Linked DNA regions of Mus musculus. The protein of the gene in region 1 purifies or fractionates together with the protein of each later gene. This does not show direct contact. Links are inferred from orthologs where the notes say so. Each region holds a gene or a part of one and is shown on either strand. Other genes may lie near its edges.

Region 1 (4,280 bases):
AGGCGACCATCCCAGGCACTGTCATGCTCTTCCTCTGAGTCCGAGAGGGCCTGGATGAGCTGTAAATTTGCTGCACCTCTTCCTTGCACCAGTCTCACTTGGCCTCTGCGGAGAGATCCCCATTATAAAGGAGGGATTCCTTCTCCCATCTAACCAATGGCTATCTGGCTCTTAGTCAGTTGGTTCTCCTTTTGAAATTGGATTTTAAGTCTCCTACAAGTCATAGTAGGGCCAGGCAGTGGTGGCGCATGCCTTTAATCCCAGCGCTTGGGAGGCAGGGGCAGGTGGATCTCTGTGAGTTCAAGGCCAGCCAGGTCTACAGAGTGAGTTCCAGAGCAGCCAGGGCTACACAGAGAAACTCTGACTCAAAAATAAAATAAACAAACCAACCAACCCCAAACACACAAAAAAGACACAGCAGGAAACCAGCTTTAACTCTTAAGAGTAAGAACACAGAGTTCTAACAGGTTATGAAGACTGACCTACTAAATTGATTTCTCTCAGGGCTAAATATAATTTTCCCCCAGGGCTAAGGACTGAACCCAGGGGCTCAGTGCATGCTGGGTAAGCTTCTACCACAAAGCTATATCCTGAATTCAAGAGCTAAGAATTAGGAGAGCACTTCCACTTTTCCTTCTATACCCCAACAAAGGCACCTTAAGTGAGAGAAGGTATATTCTGGTTCATGGCTCAAGGGCAGAGTCTGTCATAGCGGGGCCATCAAAGTAGCAGGGCCAGGAACAGCTGGTAACACAGCACTCATAGTCAGGAAGAAGGCGGGATGAATGGTTGGGTTTAGCTAGCTTTCTCCTTTTTATACAGTCTAGGACCCACATGGGAATGGCACCACCCACGCTCAGAGTGGGTCTTCCTGCTCCAATGAACCCAATCGCCATAATCCCTTCCAGGCCTGCCCAGAGAGGCTAAATAATCCATCCCGCCCAGGTGTGCCGTGTCCCCCAGGTGATTTCAGACTCTGTCCAGCTGACAACAACAACAACCCTCACAGCCGTCGGTGTAGGAACGCAACACAGAACACAGGGTCTGCAGGGATACTAGGTTCATCTTTTCCCAAGGAACCGTAGGCAAGCAAACAAAACGTTCTTAGTTCCTGGTGGTCACCCCCTTGAGGGCATTCTTTTCTTAAGAGCAGGGCTAGTAAGGCCGATGTAAACTTGTTTTTCAAGTAAATCCACATGGCTTCATCTCACATGGCAAGTGACTTAGCACCCCCTTCCCAACTCTTTTCACATCTCTCCTTTCCTCCATAATCCCTCTCCCTTCTCTCGTTTTATTTTCTTGGAAAACTGATGACATTTGTGTTGTCACAGCTGAAAAGGCTTCCCTTAGGAGCTCCTCAACTATGAGAGTTGTAAGAACCATTTTGGGTAGGGAGCCACGCAGAGTGTATGGACATCCAGCAGGGAAAGGTCGTTCTGTTCAAACACAACCATTGTCCTGGGACAATGCCATTCCCTATCCTCTGCACTTTTCCTGCCTGAAGTTGAGGTCAAGACATTGTGACACTTAGTGTCACAGCAGAGGGTAAGTTACCTGCGGAGGAGATAGGCCAGTACCTGGGCCAGATCCACATCTTCATCCTCTTCTTCCTCTTCCTCACTACGACGCAGGCCAGTCCCTCTTCGGGACAAGCCCTCAGAGGGTTCTAAGGACCCGGATCCGGCGCTGCTGCTGTTCCGTGATCCCATCTTCTGGTTACAGCATCCTTATGTCTTGCGCAGGGGCTGCTCCTGTCTCCAACTTGGGTTTGGTGAAAGCAAAGCCTGCTGTAGAAATACCAGGGTTTCCAGAAACGGGGCAGAAGCTATCTTTAGAGGGGTGACCCCTCCAGGAGACTGAGATTTCCTTCTCTTTAGCTATGACAGCTCCCAGGGTATCGGGAACATAAACCTTTCTCAATCCTGTGAAGCAAAGAAAGCCATATGAAACCTAGGGTGCAACCCTACCGTACTAATCAGAGTCCACGAAGAGGAATTTCCCATTTTCCTAACCAAACTCACCTATCAAAGTCCCCGGCCCGGGATGGCTGAATCCCAGATAACCTCTCCGACTGACCAATCAAAACCCCTTGCGGAAGAACGCATTTCACTAGCTTATCTCACACAACCAACCAGAGGCGTTAGAACTCAGACCCCCCCCACGCCTCCCTCTACTGACCAATCAGAGCAATTTCTTGCACGGGCCGGCAGCATCAACAGCCAATGAGGTTAGAAGTCAGCCTAACACCCCCTCCAGTTTAGCTTCACGCCCACGTGGTGCGCCGGGGGTGTGTACAACAGGGGGAGGGAAAATGGAGAAGCACCTCCCCCCGGCGTCTGGCGGTTACCGCCCCACGCGAGACCACCCACCAGCCAGGAGCTGTCGCAGGACCCGCAGGGGCGAGGCCCTGTTTACAGCGACTATCGCTGCGGCGCCGGCTAACAGCTCCTCAGTCGCGAGCCTCGTCCGTCACGCTTCTGGCGGCCAGGCCTGCTGACGTCACTCGACGCTCCAAGCAGTCCCTCCCCCTCGGCCCTCTGATTGGATAGCTGAGACCTGTGATTGATAGGTGGGCTGGGGAACTTGCTCAACCCAAGAGGGGCGTTTAGTCGTAGCGGACTGGAATTGGCTGCGACCTGCATTAGACGTAGCGGAACTAGACATCAAGTCTGCGAGGTGGTCCCTTAAGGTCGCTTGGCCTCGAGTGGTTTGTTTGTTTGTTTGTTTTTTACTGCGTGCCCAATCGCTCCTATTCCCTCAGCTCCCAGCAACCCCAGTTCAACCGTTTTCCCCTGGCTGTAGCGCTAGCGGCCTGTCGAAAGCAGTCCTCACTGGTGGGACCTGGGCCTCTCCACCCTGCTGTGTACACGCTTACCAGCGGGGGTCTTGTCTGACGACCCCTGGCTTCCTTTCTTGGTCTTTGCATACGCTCCCTAAGTGCCGCGGCCGTCCCCGGAGCCTTTCCGGTTGCCTTAGTGCGCACGCGCCCCTTGGGTCTGGGCTTTGCCGACCGTCCCTAGGCTTCTGTCGCTCGCCACCTCCCGTTGGTTTATGAGTAACTAGGGTGAGTCCAAGGCCAACCCTACCTTGTCTGGGATGGTTTCCTAGGCCAGAGAGGCGGGCGATGTCGGCCTTGGCCCAGAGGTGGGCCATCGCGAGGACACCTCAGCTCCCGGGGCGAGCATGTGACAGGTTCTGTGTCAGGTTTCCTGGTCTCTAGGCCGGAGACCCCAACATTTTCTCCCGATCCACGCAGGTTGTCACTGCCTTAAAATTCTTAACTGTAAACAAGCGCCCAGCATTTTGTTCTTTGGCTGGTCTCCATTAATTATGTGGACAGGTATTTCAAACATACACGGAACTTTCAGGATTCCTAGGTATTTGGGTTATTTGGCCTGGAAAGTCTGTAATAATTTTAGTATTTTTCCTTCCTTATTACTCTTCTAGTTCTTACAAGTTCTGTAGATATTTTTTAACTGATTACTTGAGGTTATTTTCACAGTGGCTGTTTTTCCACATTTCAGACTTCTTCCACTCCTTGATCTGCTCAAGTCTACTCTTAAAAGTATTTCGTTCTTAAGAGCTGACTGTTTTTTCGTTTTTTTATTACTTCAAATACAGACTTCCCAACCTGATTGTCTTTTTACTTCATTCGAAAATTTTGTCTGCCAATCAAATGTGCCTAGAAGTGCCTTATTTCTACTGGTACACCCTTTCAGAATGTCTAATCTGAGAGATGCTTTATCTTTTTAACCAGTCCTAGCCAGCCCTCATAGCCCTAAACTGTGACCTAGTGATACTGCTATCTGTAATCAAACTTGGACCTACATAAAAATGTATGTTCTGCTTAACAATCACTGATAATAGTGGGATACTGGAAATAAAAGAAATCCAAATATACAATAAGAGGTTGGTTAAATAAATTATGGTCAGTTTTGTACAGTTATAAAAATACCTGGTAGCCACTGAAATGAATTTTTTAGTGGGTTAGGAATATGTCTCTATGGGAGAGTGCTTGCTTGGCATTCTGTATATACTGGGTTCAGTGTATACATTGAACACACACACACACACACACATACACACCAAACAACAACAAAAACCCAATGTTGCTGCAGTTCTTCATAAAATAAAAATAACCGAGGGCTGGAGAGATGGCTCAGTGGTTAAGAGCACCGACTGCTCTGCTGAAGGTCCTGAGTTCAAATCCCAGCAACCACATGGAGGCTCACAACCATCTGTAATGAGATCTGACGCCCTCTTCTGGTGCATCTGAAGAC
Region 2 (3,816 bases), on another chromosome or scaffold:
CCATTGCTAATCTACATCCCCCCACCTTCTGAGGTTTGGTTTTAGTTTTTTGAGACAGGGTCTCTCTAGCCCTGGAGTTCACTCTGGAGACCATACTGGCCTATAACTCCCAGAGATCTGTCTGCCTTTGCCTCCTGAGCTCTAGAGTTAAAGGGGCGTCACCACACCCACATCCTACCTATTGTTGTCTTAGACAGGTTTTCATATAGCAAGGCTGCTCTTGAACTGATTTTTCTACCTCCTGAGTGCTGCCTGGTGAAGCTCCTTATTTATGGTCGTAGCTTTATTAATACTCGGGTTACATGGAATGAACTTGTAGCACAGTCAGGCCTTCATGCATAATAACGATGTGTTCCAACAGAATTCTGTATGAACAAAATCACTAACAAAGTAGAAGCATGATTTCTTCAGTGTCAGAGTTGTAAAGCCTCGCGCTGCATTAACCCTTCACTGCTAAAGCTGACCTCCACCTCATGCATTCCTTCTTGAATGTCTGTTTTGTGTATGATAATAAATAGTGAGGTTTGTGTAATAACTATAGCATTTTTTAAAAGCTTTTTTTTTATCTTTATCTGTATGTATGTGGGCTCATTTACCATGGTCAGAAGAAAATAAGCAGGAGTCAGTTCCTTTCTTTCGCTGGGCAGTGGTGACACACGTCTTTAATCCCAGCACTTAGGAGGCGGAGGCAGGCCGATTTCTGAGTTCGAGGCCAGCCTGGTCTACAAAGTGACTTTCAGGACAGCCAGGACTACACAGAGAAACCCTGTCTCAAAAAAAAAAAAAAAAAAAAGTATATAAAACAAGAAAGGCTAGTAGACAGATTTAGAGCCATACCACTTGAAGAAAAAAGAAAAATTATATTTAGCTATTGTTCAACTATATGACTATAAAATATAATTTTGCTTTGGTGTAGAGAAAACTTCTATCCAATATAACTGCATTTTTTTTCACCTGCCAAATGTGTGCTCTTGTTTTATAGATATTATGCCTTAGAAGTCTCATATTTCAAATCATCTTTGGATCGTAAACTACTTGAGCTTTTGTGGAATAAATACTGGGTGAATACCCTGAGTTCCTCTAGCTTGCTTACTGTAAGTACTGGACTTGTTTCATTTGAATTTTGTTTTACTCTGAAGCCCAAGTTGACACATGGTTAACTCAAACATATGAAGGCCAAAGGCCAACCCAGAAGTGTCAGTTCTCTTCTTGTATGTAGGCCCGTGATCAAACTCAGGTTGTCAGGCTTCGCAGCAAGCTCCTTCACACACTGAGCCATCTTACTGGCCCATGACTTCAGGGCCTTGAGTGTTGGGATCACAGGCAAGTGCTATTATACCTGATTAATTTCACTTGTAGCCAAGCTACAAAAACTGTTTGTTATTTGAAACTTCATTTCACAGAATGGCATAATCTCAAGGCTGGAGCAGGGTTCTGTCCCAAACTAGATGAGGATGCTAGGCAATCCAAATGGGGGAAGATATGCTTGTGCCTTAAAGAGGTTCATAGAGGAAGAAACAAAAATACTGTTTTTGTTGCCTCAGGTAACAGGTAGGTCTCTGACACATAATATGCGACCCTCACAGGAATCACATTTCAGATATTTACATTACAATTCATAACAATAGCAAAATTACAGTTATGAATTAGCAGCTATGTAATTCATGAGTGGAAGTTACCCCAACATGAAGACCTGTATTAAAGGCTCACAGTATCAGTAGAAAGAGGTCCTGAAAGAAATCTGAAGATCATTACAAATCCCAGACAAAGAAAAACATTAACTCAATAGCTCCCAATACATCATTAAAATCTAATATTGTGATTCTTCCTATTATTAATGGATATATATTTAATAGTTATACATTTAGAACTTAGCAGTTTTATTGTTTTTACTTTCTGATAAAAAAAAAAGTCTACTTCATGTAACACAGTATAATTCAAAAGAAACGGGGTTTGAAAACAAATCTGAGACTACTACTAGTCCTTGGTGACCTTCAGAGCATAGTTTGTCACCTCTGCTCCAGAATAGTTTGTTACACAGCCAGGGATGACCCTGAAATTTTGTCTCTACCCTCTGAGTGCTAGGATTGTCCGCATGTGCCATCACATCCAGCTGTAGTGGCTGGGCCTTTCTGTGGTGTAAAATGGTGGCAGTGGCACTCGGTGTATCACTACGTACACTGCAACTGAGAAAACACCTGCCTTGATGATTGCTAGTGTTTTGTTTGGGGCATTATATTCTTAGAAAGACTCCCTTGAGTATTTTTATTAATGTCTTAAACATAACTTTGACATGGTTTGTGTTCTACTTAGTAGAAGTAGCAGCATTAAAAAGAGCAAGTTGAGCACGTGTCTGTAATGCTAGTCTTTGGGACTTGGAAGGTTTTGTCAAGGTAGTTCCAGGTCTTCCTTAGCACACAATAAGCTTGAGGCCAGCCTGAGCCACATGGGACCTTCTTGTTTTAAACAAAAATAAAGGAGGAGAGCAATCATAATAACAAATATTATGTATCCTGTGTGCCAAGCACTGCGAAGTGTATGTTGCCTTAGAGACAAGTATATTTGCAGTCAGAAGTGATACCTGGTGGCAAGAAAAGGGGACGCTAGGACAACAGCAGGAGAGAGGCAGGCAGAGGACCTACTTTGTCCTGTGACTGTCCTGTTCCAGCATTGTAATATGAGGACGGTTAGTTGGTGGGGCAAGTCTCAAGTGCCTTCAAGGCCTGAGCTCCGTCACCAGCCTGAGACAAGGCCTTGCCTCATGTATAGCCGTGACTGGCCCAGAAGTCACACTATAGCTGAGACTGCCTTGATTACACTTACAGCTGCTAGAGCTTTAAATCTACAGACAGACAGATGGCTTAGTGAGGTAAGGCACTCACCACAGAGTTCGGTGAATCGACTCCTGCAGATTTTCCTCTGACTACATGTATGCTGTGGCACATGCATACACACAAACACAAAGAGAGGATAAATAAATGCAATTTAAAAAAATGTTTAAGGAAAAAAATTTTAGGGGTGGTAGTAGCAGCACAGGCCTTTAATCCCAGCATTGGAGAGAAAGAGGCAGGCTGATCTCTGAATTCTCGGCCAGCCTAGTCTATAGATCAAGTTCCCAGACATCCAAGGCTACACAGAAAAACCCTGTGTCAAAAAAGCCAAAAGAAATGTTTAAGATAACAACTTGTCTTCCTGTGCCTGCATTTCAAAGATTATAGGCATGTACCACCCGCACATAGTTGGGGTTTTTTAGACTAAAAAAAAATAATAATACAAAACCTTATTAAAATATTACAATTAGCAAGGCATAGGGGTATACACTCGTAATCTATTATAGCTACTTAGTGAGTTAGAGCCTCAGCTATTTAATACTTTGTCTCAAAACAAATAAGAATAAATGACACCTGGGGATTCAATTTGGTAGTAGAATGTGCTTGTACAGACTGTAGATGCAAACCGCAGCACACCCACACTTGACACATGTAGGGCGATAGGCTGTTAAATGTATGGATCAAACCTTTAATATTTTTCAATTTGTAAAATATCTAATATATGTGATATTAAAGAAAAGTGTGTTCATAATAGATTTCTCAAATATAGGTGTAGACAAGGGCATAAAGTAGTACTTTAATAAGTACAGTCACAAAGCTAGATAATTATTAAGCCTTTATAAGGTGTCCTGGACAGTCCTAAGAGCTTTTGGCGTATTATTTCATTTTCAGACTAGCTCTGAGGTGGGAATGACTGCTGCCCTCTTCTGTTTTCAGAAGAGGGCAGGAGGCATGGTTCAGGGTTCCCAGCTCCTCTGCAGCAGGG

What was found.
Region 2: the proteins of Dcaf11 (region 1) and Cops5 purify together in Homo sapiens (affinity purification with mass spectrometry; 6 studies listed by BioGRID and IntAct, with this or other methods). This does not show direct contact. The link is inferred for Mus musculus from reciprocal best matches to the Homo sapiens genes DCAF11 and COPS5.

What each region holds. Positions count from the first base shown.
Region 1 is NC_000080.6:55,558,717-55,562,996, reverse strand, and holds the start of Dcaf11 (DDB1- and CUL4-associated factor 11), read right to left. Parts: upstream 2,969-4,280; 5' UTR 2,876-2,968; intron 2,557-2,875; exon of another isoform or gene 1,788-2,556; 5' UTR 1,710-1,787; coding exon 1,555-1,709; intron 106-1,554; coding exon 1-105. UniProt on the Homo sapiens protein: May function as a substrate receptor for CUL4-DDB1 E3 ubiquitin-protein ligase complex.
Region 2 is NC_000067.6:10,027,877-10,031,692, reverse strand, and holds part of Cops5 (COP9 signalosome complex subunit 5), read left to right. Parts: intron 1-982; coding exon 983-1,094; intron 1,095-3,816. UniProt on the Homo sapiens protein: Probable protease subunit of the COP9 signalosome complex (CSN), a complex involved in various cellular and developmental processes.